Kluyveromyces lactis: one gene and its partners. The protein of the gene in region 1 interacts with the protein of each later gene in a pairwise test. Links are inferred from orthologs where the notes say so. Each region holds a gene or a part of one and is shown in the gene's direction. Other genes may lie near its edges.

The links.
Region 2: the proteins of YPT52 (region 1) and GDI1 interact in binary tests that used the Saccharomyces cerevisiae proteins (3 or more experiments, as listed by UniProt). The link is inferred for Kluyveromyces lactis from reciprocal best matches to the Saccharomyces cerevisiae genes YPT52 and GDI1.
Region 3: the proteins of YPT52 (region 1) and ROY1 interact in binary tests that used the Saccharomyces cerevisiae proteins (3 or more experiments, as listed by UniProt). The link is inferred for Kluyveromyces lactis from reciprocal best matches to the Saccharomyces cerevisiae genes YPT52 and ROY1.
Region 4: the proteins of YPT52 (region 1) and VPS8 interact in a two-hybrid assay, tested with the Saccharomyces cerevisiae proteins (2 studies listed by BioGRID). The link is inferred for Kluyveromyces lactis from reciprocal best matches to the Saccharomyces cerevisiae genes YPT52 and VPS8.

The regions. Positions count from the first base shown.
Region 1 is NC_006040.1:199,936-203,227, forward strand, and holds YPT52 (Rab family GTPase YPT52), read left to right. Parts: upstream 1-1,576; coding exon 1,577-2,200; downstream 2,201-3,292. Other genes in the region: KLLA0_D02354g (uncharacterized protein), read left to right, coding at 1-1,122; SCP160 (Scp160p), read right to left, coding at 2,511-3,292. UniProt on the Saccharomyces cerevisiae protein: Required for transport in the endocytic pathway and for correct sorting of the vacuolar hydrolases suggesting a possible intersection of the endocytic with the vacuolar sorting pathway.
Region 2 is NC_006042.1:852,635-856,776, forward strand, and holds GDI1 (Gdi1p), read left to right. Parts: upstream 1-1,679; coding exon 1,680-3,017; downstream 3,018-4,142. Other genes in the region: KLLA0_F09163g (putative hydroxyacid dehydrogenase), read right to left, coding at 1-1,169; Sm-like protein LSM2, read left to right, coding at 3,422-3,709; KLLA0_F09229g (uncharacterized protein), read right to left, coding at 3,833-4,142. UniProt on the Saccharomyces cerevisiae protein: Regulates the GDP/GTP exchange reaction of SEC4 by inhibiting the dissociation of GDP from it, and the subsequent binding of GTP to SEC4. Plays an essential role in the yeast secretory pathway.
Region 3 is NC_006038.1:761,056-765,370, forward strand, and holds ROY1 (Roy1p), read left to right. Parts: upstream 1-1,711; coding exon 1,712-3,361; downstream 3,362-4,315. Other genes in the region: tRNA methylation protein TRM732, read left to right, coding at 1-1,197; PET111 (Pet111p), read left to right, coding at 3,907-4,315. UniProt on the Saccharomyces cerevisiae protein: Non-SCF-type F-box protein involved in the endocytic with the vacuolar sorting pathway. Acts as a repressor of YPT52 by inhibiting the formation of active, GTP-bound, YPT52. Involved in the defense mechanism against methylmercury toxicity.
Region 4 is NC_006039.1:1,631,299-1,636,318, forward strand, and holds the start of VPS8 (CORVET complex membrane-binding subunit VPS8), read left to right. Parts: upstream 1-1,492; coding exon 1,493-5,020. Other genes in the region: EFB1 (translation elongation factor 1 subunit beta), read left to right, coding at 230-309, 600-1,143. UniProt on the Saccharomyces cerevisiae protein: Required for localization and recycling of the CPY sorting receptor (VPS10) to the late-Golgi compartment. Involved in the retention of proteins to the late-Golgi. Plays an integral role in the complex vacuolar protein sorting process.

The DNA.
Region 1 (3,292 bases):
CCGGATTCTTCTCAAAGTGAAACGTTAGCCATTATTGTGGCTAATATTTTGCTACATTCGTGTTCTATACGAACTGATGCAAATCTTAACGCAACTCTTATAAAATGTGTCGAGACCAGCCTCTTTGAAAATCCTTTCGATTTACCCAGATGGAGAATAATGTTCTTATTGGCACATTGTAAACCAACTTTGGCTCATGATGGCCAGGGTTCAGATCTAGATGACTCGGACCAGAAACATCATCAAATTTTTAACAGAATGTTGGCTCCACAGAGTTTCCAAACGATGGTCACTTCCTTGACTATGGATCCAAAACGCATTTCAATTCTTACAGAATTGGGTAAATACTGGTACGCTTTGTGTTTCAACTACGGGTATCTCTCTGCCAATTCTCGAGTATATTGGTCTCTCTTCACCGAACTTAGTGGAAAACCATACAACTCCGTGGCTGGATTTCAAGATTGTTTGATCCAATTTGGATCCCTTTACCTATTGCTACATACTCATAACCTGTCCGTCGAAAGAACCACTGTCAATAGATTCTTATGCATTTTCGAGGACAAGTTCAACGACTGGTTGCTACAAGCTTCAGAGGAATTGTATTGCCCCCTACAAGAACATAGATTACCTCAGATCCTCAACATCTTGGAGCTTTTGATAGGGTACTCTTCTCCTCAACTAAGGCAAGATATCAGAACCTGTTTTGTCTCGCCACATAACTCATTCCATTGCCCCTTCGTCAACTCCTCTTTCATTAAGTTGATCGAATCACCAATCAATAATATCTCGAACACTACTACTTCGATATTAAATCTTTTACATCTTAGACACAACAGGGAAACTCACAGATTGGAGCCTTTGCCTCCAGTTTCTCGTGAATCTTCAGTGTGTTCTTCCATATCGCATGATTACATCACCTACTCCGGACTACCCACGCCATCGGCAAACACCACCACTGCAGCATCAACTGTTAATTCCAACTCTTCAATGACTTCTATCGCTGAGCAGGATTCCGAGGCTGATAATTGGCCCGAGGAAGAACAACTCTTGGAAGCAGAGAAGATCGGGGCCGCTATCCAAAGGCTTAACGAGCTGGGCTTTGTTAAGATGTCTACTGAATGAGATAATAAGCATGCGCACGATACTTCTTTCACTTCATTTCACTTCACTTCACTTCACTTCACTTCACTTCACTTCATTTCACTTCTATTCGATTAATGTTAGCTACTATTTATTCTATTCTATTTAATCAATACACACCCCAACTATATTTATCAACCAAATCAGCCTCTTGTCATTGTTTTAAACGTCACGAACTCCCCTCAAATTACCAATCACGTGATCGACAATTCGTATTATCCAACTTAAAGGCTTTCAGTCATTGAAACCTTTAAATTCAGAATCAACAGGTTTCATCCCTTCCAGATAAAAAGATAAAAAAGTAGAGAAACTGGAACGAGTAACCGCGGGTAGAAGTCGTATTGGACATTTTGTTTCGAGCATTCACCAATATCAACCCCAGGTTTCCTATACTGCTGATTCTTTCTAAAATATCGCAATTTACTTCCCATAAATTATGCTTCAGTTCAAATTAGTATTGTTGGGAGATTCTTCTGTTGGAAAATCCAGTATTGTTCATAGATTCGTCAAAGACTCGTTTGATGAGTACAGGGAATCGACTATAGGTGCAGCTTTTCTTTCACAAACTATTAAATTATCTGAAGAGTATGATGAACAAGTTTTGAAGTTTGAAATTTGGGATACGGCCGGTCAGGAACGCTATAAATCTTTGGCACCTATGTACTATCGTAATGCAAATGCCGCTTTAGTTGTGTACGATGTCACTGAACCAGATTCTTTGCCTAAGGCCAAGCTTTGGGTTGATGAATTGAAAGAAAAGGTAAATGACGATAAGTTGATCATCTGTCTTGTGGGGAATAAGTTGGATCTAGTATCTGAAAGGGAATCGACCTCTTTAGTCGATGAAGCGGACGCACGCGAGTTTGCACAAGAGAATAATTTGTTGTTCCACCAGGTCAGTGCTAAGACTGGAGAAAACGTAATCAAAGTCTTCCAAGATATTGGTGAAAGATTATATTTGCAGAACAAAGATAAGATACAGGAATCGAAGAAACCTAATAATAATAATATATCATTGCAAAGACCAAGTACAAATGATTCACAGTCTTGTTGCTCATGAAGACGGCTTTATTCGTATGCCTGCATATAGATCTTCAGGCCACAATAAATATATATATACGTTTACGTATAACCATGAAACACACGCTAGCCCGTATAAATCTTTAACATTGAGGAACAACCGAGGATTTTGAAGAAATAGTTTTGTTTACATTTTTTGATATAGGTTTTAAGTGTATTCAGTATACATGATTAATTATGTGGTATTAATGTAAGCTTATGTAGTGCTAATCTGTGCAGCGTTGAACACCAATAGAGGAAATAAATACAAGAATTGGATCAAAGGAACGGACAAAGTGAAAACATTAAAACTATTTTAATCTCTTGCAGATCAATTCAGCTGCCTTTTTCACACCTTCTTCAGAGCCTAGGACATATATAACATTGTTAACCTTATCGCTTTTTCTTGGAACATGGATAACAGTTTTAGTGGCATTTCTGATTTCTCTGATATTTCTACCGTTTGGTCCAACAATAGAGTTAAACTTCTTTGCATCCTTGGACCAAACGAAACCTTCGGTGTTAACAAGTTTAGCCTCGGCGATTCTGTCTTCTATCAATTTGGACGCTTTTTCTAAGACTTGATCTTTGCTTTCTTCATCTTTCTTATAGTCTTCACCTAAAACATCACTCAAGTCAATTGGTGAGTATGTTAATCTCCATGGGATTGTGTCAACCTTAGCTTCAGTTTCTGTGACAGATTGAATGAGGACGTTGGAGCTTTCATTTTCACCACCAGCGACATTTTCAGGAACCTTGTAGTTCGCACGAGATAAACTTTGTGCGGTTCTAGTCAAGTTACCATGAGAAACATCAATAGAAAATTCGTTTCTTAACGTTTGGAAAATCAAACCAGAGTTAGAAACGTATGAATGGTATTTGGCAGGGACAGCAATTTCCAAGTCGAAACTATCCCTGATGATTTCTTTTTCGATTTTCTTCTTGCAAGATTCAATATTAGCAGGAGAACCAGAAACAGTGACCTTTTCATCTGAGCTGTTCTTGTTTGGAACATGAATTCTTACTTTGAATTCTGTCTCCAATTCACGTCTTACTGATCCAGCTGGACCAATCAAGGCACCAAACTTCTCTT
Region 2 (4,142 bases), on another chromosome or scaffold:
TTCTTGGAAGGTTCGGAAGAGGAAGAAGCACACACGTGACTCAAAACTTGTAGCGCCAGTCTATTGCTCGCTTCCCAGACAGCTCTTGTGCTGCTAGCTATATGGGGGGTGATGGTGTTATAATGGCAATCCTCAGATAACCATTGTTCTACAATTGGCTCATCGTGAAACACGTCCATTGCTACATGTCTAACTCTGCCGGGTTCTTGTGCCATAATATGCTGTAATGCATCATCGTCGATTATTGAGCCTCTTCCGACGTTACAGATAACAACGCCGAACTTGCATCTTGACAGAAAAGTTTTGTTGATCATGTGATGTGTTGATGCATTTCCTGGTAGACATATTACAATGCAATCAAACGTTTCAAGGCATGGACTGCTTCCATGCGCATCCTGAAAATCAGACTCAAGTAGCTCAGAGATTGGATGGAATTGCCACTTCTGGATATAAGTGTCCGAGCTTATTTGTTCTTTTGTAACCGGATTTCTCTGCGTGTAATGTATTTCCATTCCTAATCCGGAATCCAATTTCCTACCACACTGGATTCCAATACGTCCAAGTCCCATAATGAGACATCTCTTGTTCCGACAACTTTCATTAAAGGTTCCTCGTTTCCATCTGTGCCCAAATTCGAACCTTGGTGAATTGTTTTCACCGTGTTCCAGTACGATTTCTGAACGAGCCTTGATAGTGTTTCTTGCTGATCTCAATGCATGTGCCTGACTTGAGAATTTCCGAAACCCATCTAGAACGTGCCAGAGGACGCAATCTGCAACGTCGTTGGCTACAATTCCAGAGTCCTGTATCATGTCGTCATAATTGTACAGTTGAATGCCCTTTTCCCGTAGTGACTTCAGGTCGAGCCAATTGTAACCTACAGAACACAGACATATGCACTTGATCGACCCAGGCCAACGATGATCATCCAAGATTTCTGCACTCAAACCACCTAAGGGAGCGAATTGTGGATACCCTCCAAATATTCCGACAATTGGACCCTTTTGCTTCGAATGCTGGTCCAAGAAAGTTAGAAATGCTTCCTTACCAGTGCCATCAACATCTCGTTCAAGTGTGTAATTAACCGTGTTGAACTCTTTTTGCAAAAGCTTATATTCCTGTAAACTGTATTCAGGTTCAGCTATGAATAGTATCCATGGCCTGTCCATCGTGAAACGAAGTTTGGGACAAATGAGGGAATATGGTTTTGTGTATAAACTTTGCAGTGAAGGGATCCGAGTTTTTCTCTGCCAACCCAGGATCGTCTTTGTTATAATTAATATTGAAACCTCCGTTCACAGATCTGGGTCACGTGAAGAAAACTTCAGTCACTATTTTACGATATTGGTTGAACTGACATACTACCTTTCGAGGTGCTGAACATTCCTGGATCTTCAGCAATTTATGAGCATCTGAAATTGTCCAACTAGTTTGTTAACGCTCGAGATCAATGCCTGAACTGAATGCAGTTATATGCGTCTAGAACGTTTGTCTTTTAACCTTGAATTAGTGTTGAAAATAAAGAAAGTGCGATTGTTACAATAAAAATAACAATAATAGGGAGGATCATAGTATTTAGCAAGAAAACAATAACGACTTCAAACGTAGGGCTACCTTCAACTAGATAGGAAACGTTGGACCTAGTTCATAGAACGTCGAATTGACAAAAGCTTGTAATAATGGACGAAAATTATGATGTTATCGTCCTTGGGACAGGTCTTACCGAGTGTATATTATCTGGCTTACTCTCAATCGAGGGGAAAAAAGTCTTACATGTTGACAGACAGGACCATTATGGTGGTGAATCATCCAGTGTCACATTAACGCAACTATACTCTAAATTCAAACAACATCCTTTGAGTAAGGAAGACATTGAGTCAAAGTTTGGCAAGGATAGAGATTGGAACGTGGATTTGATTCCTAAGTTCTTGATGGCGAATGGTGAATTGACTAACATTTTGGTTCATACTGACGTCACCAGATATATCGAGTTCAAGCAAGTTGCTGGCTCGTACGTTTACAACAGAGGTAAAGTATATAAAGTTCCTGCTAACGAAATGGAGGCTATTTCATCTTCTTTATTGGGTATCTTCGAGAAAAGAAGGATGAAGAAGTTCTTGGAATGGATCAGTGCATACAATGAAGAAGATATCGCCACACATCAGGGCTTAAACTTGGATCAAAACACTATGGATGAGGTATACTACAAATTTGGCTTAGGAAATTCAACCAGAGAATTTATTGGACACGCAATGGCCCTTTGGACCAATGACGATTATCTGCAACAACCTGCTAGACCATCAGTGGAAAGAATTATCCTATATGTGCAATCGATTTCCAGGTTTGGTAAATCTCCATATATTTACCCTATGTATGGGTTGGGCGAATTGCCTCAAGGATTTGCTAGATTATCAGCTATTTACGGTGGGACATACATGCTAAATACCCCAATTGAAAAGGTTTTATACTCAGACGATGGTAAATTCGAAGGTATTGTCACCAAAGAAGGTACTGCAAAAGCACCAATAGTCATCGCAGATCCAACATACTTCCCTGAGAAATGTAAAACTACAGGTGAAAAGGTGATCAGAGCAATTTGCATCACTAAACAACCTGTTCCTAACACTAGTAATGCTGATTCTTGCCAAATAATTATACCACAATCACAAGTTGGAAGAAAGAACGACATTTATATTGCTACTGTCTCTGACGCCCATAAAGTTACTTCGAAGGGTCATTACCTCGCCAGTGTATCAACCATCATTGAAACTGATAAACCTCATATCGAATTAGAGCCGGCTTTCAAAATGTTGGGCCCAATTGAGGAGAGGTTCATGGGTATTTCAGAAATCTTTGAACCGATCGAAGATGGCACTAAAGACAACATTTACATCTCTAAATCTTACGATTCCTCATCTCACTTCGAATCCATGACCGACGATGTCAAGGATATCTACTTTAGGATTACTGGTCACCCCCTTGTTTTAAAGAAGAGAGAAGATGTTGCAGAGGAGTAAGTGAGAACTACGAGATAACCGTGATGCTAACTTTTGAAAATATCGTACCTTCACGTACTTCTACGTACTTTTACGTTACTTTCTTGTTTCGTTACAATCTTTATCATTATCATTTTATTTTTGTCTATTTACTATCTAGCCCCACATATTAGCTTGAATGTTTTGGCAATAGTTTTATTTCAGCAATCGACGTAAAAATATCCCAGCTAGTCCTCTTAAGTCCAGCAGCTTCTCTACTTCTACATATGAAGTTGTGTATGTCAATTTTGTACATGTATCTTTTTTTTTTCCTTCAACATGAAATTGTTTAAAACAATTTCATGTTGAAATTTGACAATACAACTACAACACATTCAAAAGTCAAATGCATGGACCTCTGAACCAAGGCCGTACTGTCCAGAACCATGCTATTATTTTCATTTTTCAAGACCCTGGTTGATCATGAAGTCAAAGTCGAACTAAAGAACGGTATTGAACTAACAGGTACTCTAAAATCAGTCGACCAATTTTTGAACTTAAAATTAGACAACATTTCGTCCAACAATAATGAAAAATATCCACATCTATCAAGCGTGAGGAACATGTTCATCAGAGGTTCTACTGTGAGGTATGTACATTTGAAGAAATCTATGGTGGATACCAACCTACTTCAAGATGCAACCAGAAGAGAATTAATGAGTGAAAGAAAGTAAACGAAAGAAGCAGCGAAAAACAGGGTTCCTGCTGCAGAAAGGAATAATTTATAACTGTTAAATATCATTCGAGTCTACCACTCTCACACTATTCACATATGTAATAATAGAACACATTACCTATCATGGTGGAACTCCCAAGAGTTTCTTCTCACATTTTGATCGGAGGTGTCCAGTTTCATTGCAATAAGAACATTTAATGTTGTTAGCTTTAGACTTTCGTTTTCCAAATTTGGCTTGTTTAGGAGTTCTTTGTACTGGAATTAGAGCATATTCTTGACCGTCTTTCTGAATAATCTCAATTTGTTTCGAAATCATTTTTGAGAACTTCTCTTTATCCAGTTCAACGGATGTAATCATCGAGATGAGCTCATCAACGTTCTTCAGTTTGTTCTCGTATTCCTCTTTTAAAGACGGGAGAGTCGACTGCTTT
Region 3 (4,315 bases), on another chromosome or scaffold:
TATGTCAATGCTAAACAATATGCTGAGATAATAGAGTTACTATTAAGTAGTGGATCCATGGATGGGAAGGAAAAAAAATCGATCCTAGTCTTATTGGGCAATGTTTTCATAAATGAAAATTCGTCTTACGTCATCGATGGTAGCAAGCAGTTGTTCTTGGCGGTTGTGACAAGAATACTCCTAAATTTTGAGAACCAAGAGTATATTACGGACATTGCGGAATTAGCCTTACGTTCTGAATATTTTGAAGTACAACTTTCTGCATTACATTGTTTGAAACAGTCAAAAATATTAACTGTCGAATACGCAGCTCTAGGTTCCATTTTAATAGATATTTTAAAGGATCCGAATCAATGGTGTGCAGTGAAAGCTGATACTCTAACAGTATTGCGTATGGCTAACATCAAGGTGAAAACGTTCAAGTACTTAGATTTAGCTTCCGATAAAAGTGAGATGTTACAAAGTAGTTTGTTAGAGAACATCAGCGTTTTCGAAAACGTACCGGAATCCGTTTTCTGGGAATTGATCGATAGCAACATTTCAGATGAGAGTCCCGACCATTTGAGGCTCTCTGCAACCCAATGTTTGATGCATTCTTACCGTTCGGCACCAGATGACAAAATCCTCTTCAGGATCTATCAACAGCTCTTTGACGATTCCTCAGATGTCAGATTAATGACGGCTAGGTTTATCAATGAACATGTTTTGCAAGTGGTAGAAAAAAATTTAAACTCTTCTCCTTACTCTACAAGTTTGAGGTGTGCAGAGATGCTCCCACAAATATTTCGTTCAGATGACATCAGCCTCACCTTGATACAGCTCTTGGAGCAATTATACGAAGGTTTTATGATCAGCAATGTGAACTCCAGTGCAGAGAACGAGCTATTTGATGTAGAGAAGGACAACCAATATCGAAATGAGTTGCAGCTCGGAACTCAAACGATTGCCATGTTAAAGGGATTAGGCCATCTACCAATTTCCATCCAACTGAAAAAGGTAAAGCAGAACCTATCTGATGTTGTTTCTGGCCTTAAAGCAGAAGACCGAGATGGTTTCTTCAAATGGGGATCAAACCCTGAAATATTCAATAAGCTTTCTCTCCAGAGAAAACTACTGCAATCATTCGGTGAAGATCTTTCAGAGATAGACGCCAAACTAGAATTGCTTAACTGTCATCCCTTAATTTTTGAAATATAGATCACCTCAACGATTATCAAATCTTATATCCAATATAAGATATTAGCATATGCTAGATAAGAATATATATTACCATCCTGCATTTTAATCCATTACATGACGTCCGGAGATACGTAGATCCATGTATAAGGAATAGCCTCATATGTGATGGCTCTATCAGGTTATAGTGCACATCTAATTGTCATATTAACAACAACATGACTCCGTGGCCAAGCTGGTTAAGGCGTGCGACTGTTAATCGCAAGATCGAGAGTTCAATCCTCTCCGGGGTCGTTTATTTTTTATGTCCGTACACTATTATTCCCAGTGTATTTCGTTGGGAAAGTTTACAAAAAAAAGGTTGGAAAGGAAGGTGCTTAAAATAAGGTGATGAGCTATAAGAAACACACATAAAATTGAATTATATTGTCGCTACCGGCTTGTTGTTTGAATTGAGAGAAATCTATTGTGTGAAACCGATCCTTATTACTGTATTCTGTTCCTCTGAACTTAGGATTGAGGATTCTTCTAGATAATGACTCAAGGTATTTCGTTGGAAGACGTTTTTGATGATGTGGCTAACTTTTTGAACCAGAACGATCTAGCGTCACTCTGTCTGGTAAGTCGCCGCTTCAATGAGTTGGCGACTCCTCGACTATACGCTGATATCACAATTAATAAGAATCCAGTATTGCGCTCGAAAGACTGGTGGATTGAGTGTGGGAAAACGTATGTCGCTGGGTATCGATCTATAACCAAGAGTAACGACCAAAATGATTTATTCTTATACGATAGGATATGCAGACTTTTAGAAAGCAAACATTTGTATCTGATACGGACTCTGGTAGTTCAGGAAGATGTATTCAATGATACAGAGGCCGGTATGCCGTTATTACAACGATTAATTGATAGTGTGAGATCGTTAAATCAAGTAACAAATTTGGATATTAGAGACTCCGTTCTCTTCCAAGCTAACAAAGAGAAGTTGAAAGGTATAAGACCATCTAAGGTGATGAGAATCCAAGAAATTGGTTCTTTGAACGATATATCAGATCTTGAGCAGCTCAAATCGCTAGAGATTTTTGTGACATTACCATCGTTTGATAATGTCATATTGTCTGATGCAGTGAAATTCAAACTCTTGGCAAACTTGGAGGAATTGGTGATAGAAGACATAGAGTTTTCTTCTCTTAGAGTGTTTTACTATTTCAAGGAACAAGGAGTGGTATTCACAAAATTAAAGAGTGTGAAGTTCAACCATGTCCATGGCATACACGATTATAACAAGACGTATCGTGAATTGACTGCTGATTTCTTGAAAGAAGTGATCCCGTTGAAACAGTTACAGTCATTAGAAATGGAGTTAGCATGTGAGATGTCGGAATGTACTTGCATCGATGATTTTTTGTCCGAAATCTCTAGCGAATTAGTATCTTTGAGGAACCTTGCCTTGATCGAGAAAACTTTCGTTACTCAAGGTGACCATTACACTGAGGAAAATTGGGATCTTTCCATAAACAGATTCATATTACATTTACCTAATGTAAGCCAGAATCTACAGACTTTAAGTGTCAGACACAATTGCCCAATTAATGGAATACAGAAGGATAGTGTTGAGGGGAACTATATCAGAAGAAGAACTTTGTATGAAGAGGTGCTTCCTCATTTGAAATCGTTGAAGAAATTATTTGCTCCCACTATCTTGCAATCGTTGAGTTCCTATGAGATTCTTGTATGTGATCTCTTATGGAATGGTTGCGAATGTGAGAAATGCACTAAAGTGCTAGATATTTTCGACCAATTCATTCAGAACCATCAATACTACTCTTACGAGGAAGGCCAATACAAGGACATAATACCGACTGTTTTCTTTGCATACGCTGGTGATTCACTTTGTCGTAGGTTCCTGACCGAAACAGATTGGGATTTAAAAGCATTGCAGTATTCTCCGACGCAACAAATGTGGGATTTTCACGGATACGAAAACGTCTATCATTTCCAGGACTATAACTGCCATTTTGACGAATCTGCATATACCCATCTAACGCAGGTGATTTCCCATTTCTTCGATGACTACATGAAAACTTTGGTGAAACTCCTCCCAAACTTAACCGTCTGTCTTCTATCAGGTATTTATTACCAAGTATCAGATGATCGCCAGTTCTCGTCTCAATACGATAGGTAATTCACCTTACCAATCCAATGTATATTGTGTTATGTATCTTATACAAATCATGATATCTCCGATTTCACTAGATAATGAAAATCGATTTTACTCAGTTCAAAAGTAAGTTATAAGAATTCAATGAAGCACTGACGTGGTGAACATTCGCCGCAATTGTGCAGTGGCAGCCCCTGATAGTATGATCACAAACCTTTATATTTGTGTCTGATCTGCTTATGTTATAGCTTTACCGTTCAATATGATAGCTTCAAGTATCAAAAAATTTGAAGGACATGGTGTGAGAGAAGAGATGAGCGGTCATAGTACAACTTGTTTAAGGATATCCATTACAATTGGTGAGTGAACCAAGCCTTAGTTAAGCCCAATTCAGGACCGAACTATATCTGATCCTTTCTGCTACCCGTTTTTTTTTCCCGCTCTTTAGCTGGTGGGTTACTACAATAAATTGTTTGAAGATAGTTTCTTAAACAAATCCATCAAGCTTATTGACATTGTTGTCGCATAGCTGAATCAAGGGCAGGGAAGAGTAGGTGCAGGTGGGAATTATGTCGCTATTGAAAGTTTCAGCGATGAATGCCAGGCTTCCCAGCAACGTGACTGTAATACGACGTGGGCTGAACGTTTGCCTAAGACACATTGGAAGAGCTAGATATTATTCGACAACGATACGAGAGATCAATGGAAACGATGAATCTAATAATAATAAGGAGCTACGGAATAGAGAGGTTGCTGGATGGATTCAGCAATCTTTGTTAGAGCATCCTCCTGTACAAAGAACAACAATAACAACAAGAAAAACACATACAGCGAACTCATCACTAGAAAAGAGGGAACAGTCAACCAAGACAATCAGCACAGAAGAATGGGAAAGGCTGTGGGAAGTGCGATTTCGAATCGGTGAGTTGAAGTGTGTTACAGAAGTGATTCGAATGAAAAAAGACGAATATGCATTTT
Region 4 (5,020 bases), on another chromosome or scaffold:
GCACTTTGAATACACGTAGATGCCATAATTCCATAGTACATACGTCTTACATATCATATATCTCATAAATATATATATATATATATTGGAACTTTTCGAATTAGAGTTTTTCATCAGCTTTTCAGTATTTTTTTTTCGTCAATTTGATTCAACGTTCCTTGTAAGAAGAAGAAGAGGAATTGATTCTTTCCTAGTTTCTTCTCTCACCAGGTTTAACTATCCATTAACGATGTCTTTCTCTGATTTCTCCAAGGTCGAAACCTTGCAAAAGTTGAACACTTTCTTGGCTGACAAGTCTTACATTGAAGGGTATGTGAAATAATTATAGTGGTGGTTTTCCAATGGCATCAAGCAGTTTTTTGAATAAGAGAATTCTTCAAAGTTTACTATTTCAATGATGAACAAATTCTTTGGTCCGTGTTTATGACGGGAAGTAAGACCCCCGGTATGAGTGACAAAGAGACAGTACCTAGACAGTACGATTCTGATTTATCTTTTTTATTGAATTCTCTTTTCAGCAAGCAAGCTTAGCTGCCATACAAAAAAATTTCATTTTTTTGTTCTTTCCATTTTACTAACTAACAATTGCATCAATATAGTACCTCTGCTACTCAAGCTGACGTCTCTGCTTTCAAGGCTTTCCAATCTACTTACCCAGAATTCTCTAGATGGTTCAACCACATTGCTTCCAAGGCTGATCAATTCGAATCCTTGCCAGCTGCTACTTCTACACCAGCTGCTGCTGAAGAAGAAGATGACGATGACGAAGTCGATTTGTTCGGTTCTGACGATGATGTCGATGAAGAAGCTGAACAATTGAAGGCTAAGAGAATCGCTGAATACAACGAAAAGAAGGCTGCTAAGCCAAAGGCTGCTGCTAAGTCTATCGTTACCTTGGATGTTAAGCCATGGGATGACGAAACCGATTTGGAAGAATTGGTTGCCAACGTTAAGAACATCGAAATGGATGGTTTGAACTGGGGTGCTCACCAATGGATTCCAATTGGTTTCGGTATCAAGAAGTTGCAAATTAACATGGTCATCGAAGATGCTAAGGTTTCTCTTGATGAATTGCAACAACTTATCGAAGAAGATGAAGACCACGTCCAATCTACTGATGTTGCTGCTATGCAAAAGTTGTAATTAAACTAATTTAAGTTCTTCACCTTTTTCCCCTTACATAAATGAATAAATAAATATACTATATTTCTCAACGACCCCCTTCGTGCTTTCTTGCTGGACCCGAACCCTTGCTGTCTCTTTTATCCTGTTATGTTCATCTTTCTTTTAGGTTTACAGCCTCTGAGCATCTTAAGAATAGAAATGTGCATAATATAAATGCATATAGATAATTAATTAAACATCATGCTGCATTTAAGGTAAAATATGAGAAAAAAAAACAGGAAAGGCAACAGAAGCCCTACGGTCTAAGTTCGGTTAAAACAGTTTTCGATTACCTGTTTGTCAATTGCCAGCAAGATTCAAGTTTCAAATGAATGGCTCTCATAGTACTGGCCACGATAAGAGAAACAACACAACCGATTTCGAAAAGTTTAATCCCTTTAAGAGCTCTCAGGATGAATCCCTGCATGTAAGCTGGACTTCATTGCAACAAGTGTATCCGAATTTATCATATTATGGGGGACCTACTTTCATTCTTCCGGTTCAGCTCTACTATATCATAGGTACGGCAAAGGGAGCCGTTGTTATCTTTAACAAGAAACAATTCGTTCAATCTGTACTAGCACCATCTTTACCAGATTTTAGATCCAAGGTAACATTTATCGATATAAATCAGGATGGTACCCATGTTTGCGCAGCCTATGAATCCGGTGATATATTCCTGTGGGACTTAAACTCTCAAGTCGATGAAAATTCCGATTCTAATCATCTAGAAGCCGTGCTGCATATTGCTTCTCATAGAGGACATTCCTTTAATGGTCTTAATTTTATCCCGGGGAAACATACCAATATTGCAGTCAGTGATTCTACAGGACATATTGTACTTCACAAGGGTACTAGAAATCATCTTTGGCAATTGGTACCTAGTGCAAAAGAAATCTTGAGGCTGAATCCAATGATAAACCCTTTATTGACTACGCGCATTCGAAGCAACGGTGAAGATTATGATGCTGAACATCTGTTAGCAGTTTTATCTAATCGATCCTTCGCAGTCATATCATTGTCATCGCCAACTTTATCAACTTATCGGCTCATTGAATTGTCACACAAAAACTCGGCCACTTTTGGATATATCTCCTGGAATGACGTCAATCCAAATCAGGTTGCCTTCTCTGTAGATAACCAGTTGAGCCTTGTCGATATCAGGTTTCCGACTTTACAATGGACGTACGAAGCTCCTGAATGCATTTGTAAAGTTGCCTGGCTCACAAATAACATTTTGACTATTTTGCTCTTGTCAAGTAAGCTTCTCGTTTTAAACATAGGTAGTGTTGATACCGATGAGGATCCTGTACTCACTAGTATTGACTTACTTATTCATGAACTGATGGTTCCAGAATCTGAGAACCATTTCGCTACGTTAAATAACACGATTGTTGTGCTCACCAATTACAGTTTAATGGTGGGGAAAATTAACTCATGGTCCGATATTGTCTTACACCATATACATAAAGGAGATTACATTAATGCATTAGGAACCCTAGGTTACTATTTACAAGGTCCATCATTCGATTCGATAACCGCCTTATTACATCTGGAAAAAGACTATCAGAAAAGAATCAGACAAATTGAACCATCGTTTAACAACTTGACACTAGCAACTGTTCAATTTTTACTGAAGAAAGATGATATAAGTTACAGTAAGGTCACTGAAGCTACATCATTGATTTTGGACTTGGGAAGTATTTTCTCAGATGAAAAGATGTATGTGCTTTTAGAACAGGTAGGGGAAGCTTTGATGACCAAACATAACGAAGAATTTCAAGAAATACTTTACGAAAAAATCGTTAACGGGACAGTAACATACCTCTCACCAATACTTTTCAAGGCTGTGATGGAATACACAGTGTCTTCAGGAAATGATAGAAGGTTAGAGACAATTTTATTATCGCTAGACGGTACAACTTTGGATTTGGATTATGCTTTCAAGGTTTGCAAAGAGTTTCGTCTCTACTCTGCACTTTTATATCTCTGGACAACCATTTTGGATGATTATAAAAGTCCCCTAGTGGATATAATATTTTACTTTGCTGGCAAAGAAGAATGTTGTGTAGTTTTTGATGCTAACATTGAAGATAATACCCTTTTCGAGTACATCGAATCAACTTTATTGGGAAAAGTTTATCCAACAGAAAAAAGAGTGCCTTCCAAAAAGATTCTATACCTAAAGAACTTTTATTACAGCTTACTTTTTAGTGGCTCTTCTTTGGAATGGCCACAAGGCTCTGGAAAAAAGCTTTTAACGTGTCCCCTACCAGCAGAAGAACCAGCCTTTCCATATGCTTCCCTTTTAATATCATCAAGTGCGCAAAATTTCTTGCACGTTCTTGATGTCTCATTTGAAGATGTTCTGTTCAATGAATCCCCTCAAAATGGATTTCATTTTACTAGACAACATATAATTGATGTTCTTTTGGACATACAGAAGAATTTCAAAGAAAATCATGTGAAACTTCTTATTGCCCTCTTTGTGTTCAACAATTTGCCAAAGTATTCTCAGTTTATTCGCCTAACCAACACTATCATTGACTCACAAATAGACGTCATATTATCTGCTGATTTGGAAGGATTTGAACAAATTTCTGAAGATTGTCTTGAAGCACTATTGTCTGTTTATTCACCAGATAATATTAACGCCCTAATTGATAAAATGTCAGGAGTGGATTTTTATCGTGTTCGGCTTCTGCTATATAAAAAGGCCGGAAGATATACAGATTATCTTACCTTTATTCTTAGCGATCAACACAGGAATACGAATGGCAATGATATTATTGCAGGTTTGAAACTATGTGATGGTGCTACAGCGAAATCGCCTATCGGTCGAAGTGAAATTTGCGACCTTCTATCAGATACATTTCCGAAGATTATCGAAAATTGTCAAGATCAGCGTTCCCTTGTCTCAATCATAGACTCTTTTGATAGTAGCTTACATGAAAAAATTCTTCTTATTTCTGATCCGTTGACGCTCTTAGGATATCTTCGTATACTTCTGTCTGGGAACTATCATCTATCTGCCCCATTTTTGAAGAAAGCAAGGCCGAAGTATCTATCATTGTTGTATGAAACCGGAGATGCGTCCGGTGTATCACAATGGGTTGACAATATTGACCTTAAAAACATCGAAGTTGAGAGTATTGTAGATATTATTAACGGAAATAGGGATTCGAGAACTTTGATACGATTGCTAGTACGGCTAAAGAACTATGGGTCGGCAATAGATAAAATAAACTCGAAAATCAACGAGTTATTACAAAATAATGATTTTGACGAAATTGATAATTATTTGGATTTAGGCATCAGTGTATCCCAGAAGACAGATGAAACTAACAAGAACTGGGTTAAATTGATATCAAACTTGGTCTCTCAATACCCAACTCTTACCGATGATCAAAAAGCGTTTTGTGATAAAAGTTTGCAGAAAGTATTTATTGAGCTTTCAGATGGGAACCTGAATGATATCGAAAACTCGGAGGAGAGCTTTTTCTGGAAGACCCTAATGGAGATATTTGAAAACAAATCTCTTATCTTGAGTAAAATCAAAGATATTAAAGTGGTGTTGAAGAATATTTTCACAGCTTATTCTGTCGAAGAGACAGTGAAACTTCTTATTTTACAGATTATCAATCAAAGTGCATCATCAGATATTACAACCTATATGCACAGAAAAGAACATGGTTGGGCAATTCAGTCTCATGAGTGTGAAGTATGTGGCAAGAAAATATGGGGAATTGGAATCGATAATAAAGTCTTTGAACAGTGGGAGTCAGCGAGATGCCACGAGGTCGCCGCTAGTGGTAGCAGTGCACTCGTTGTATTTAGTTGTGGGCACAGTTTCCAC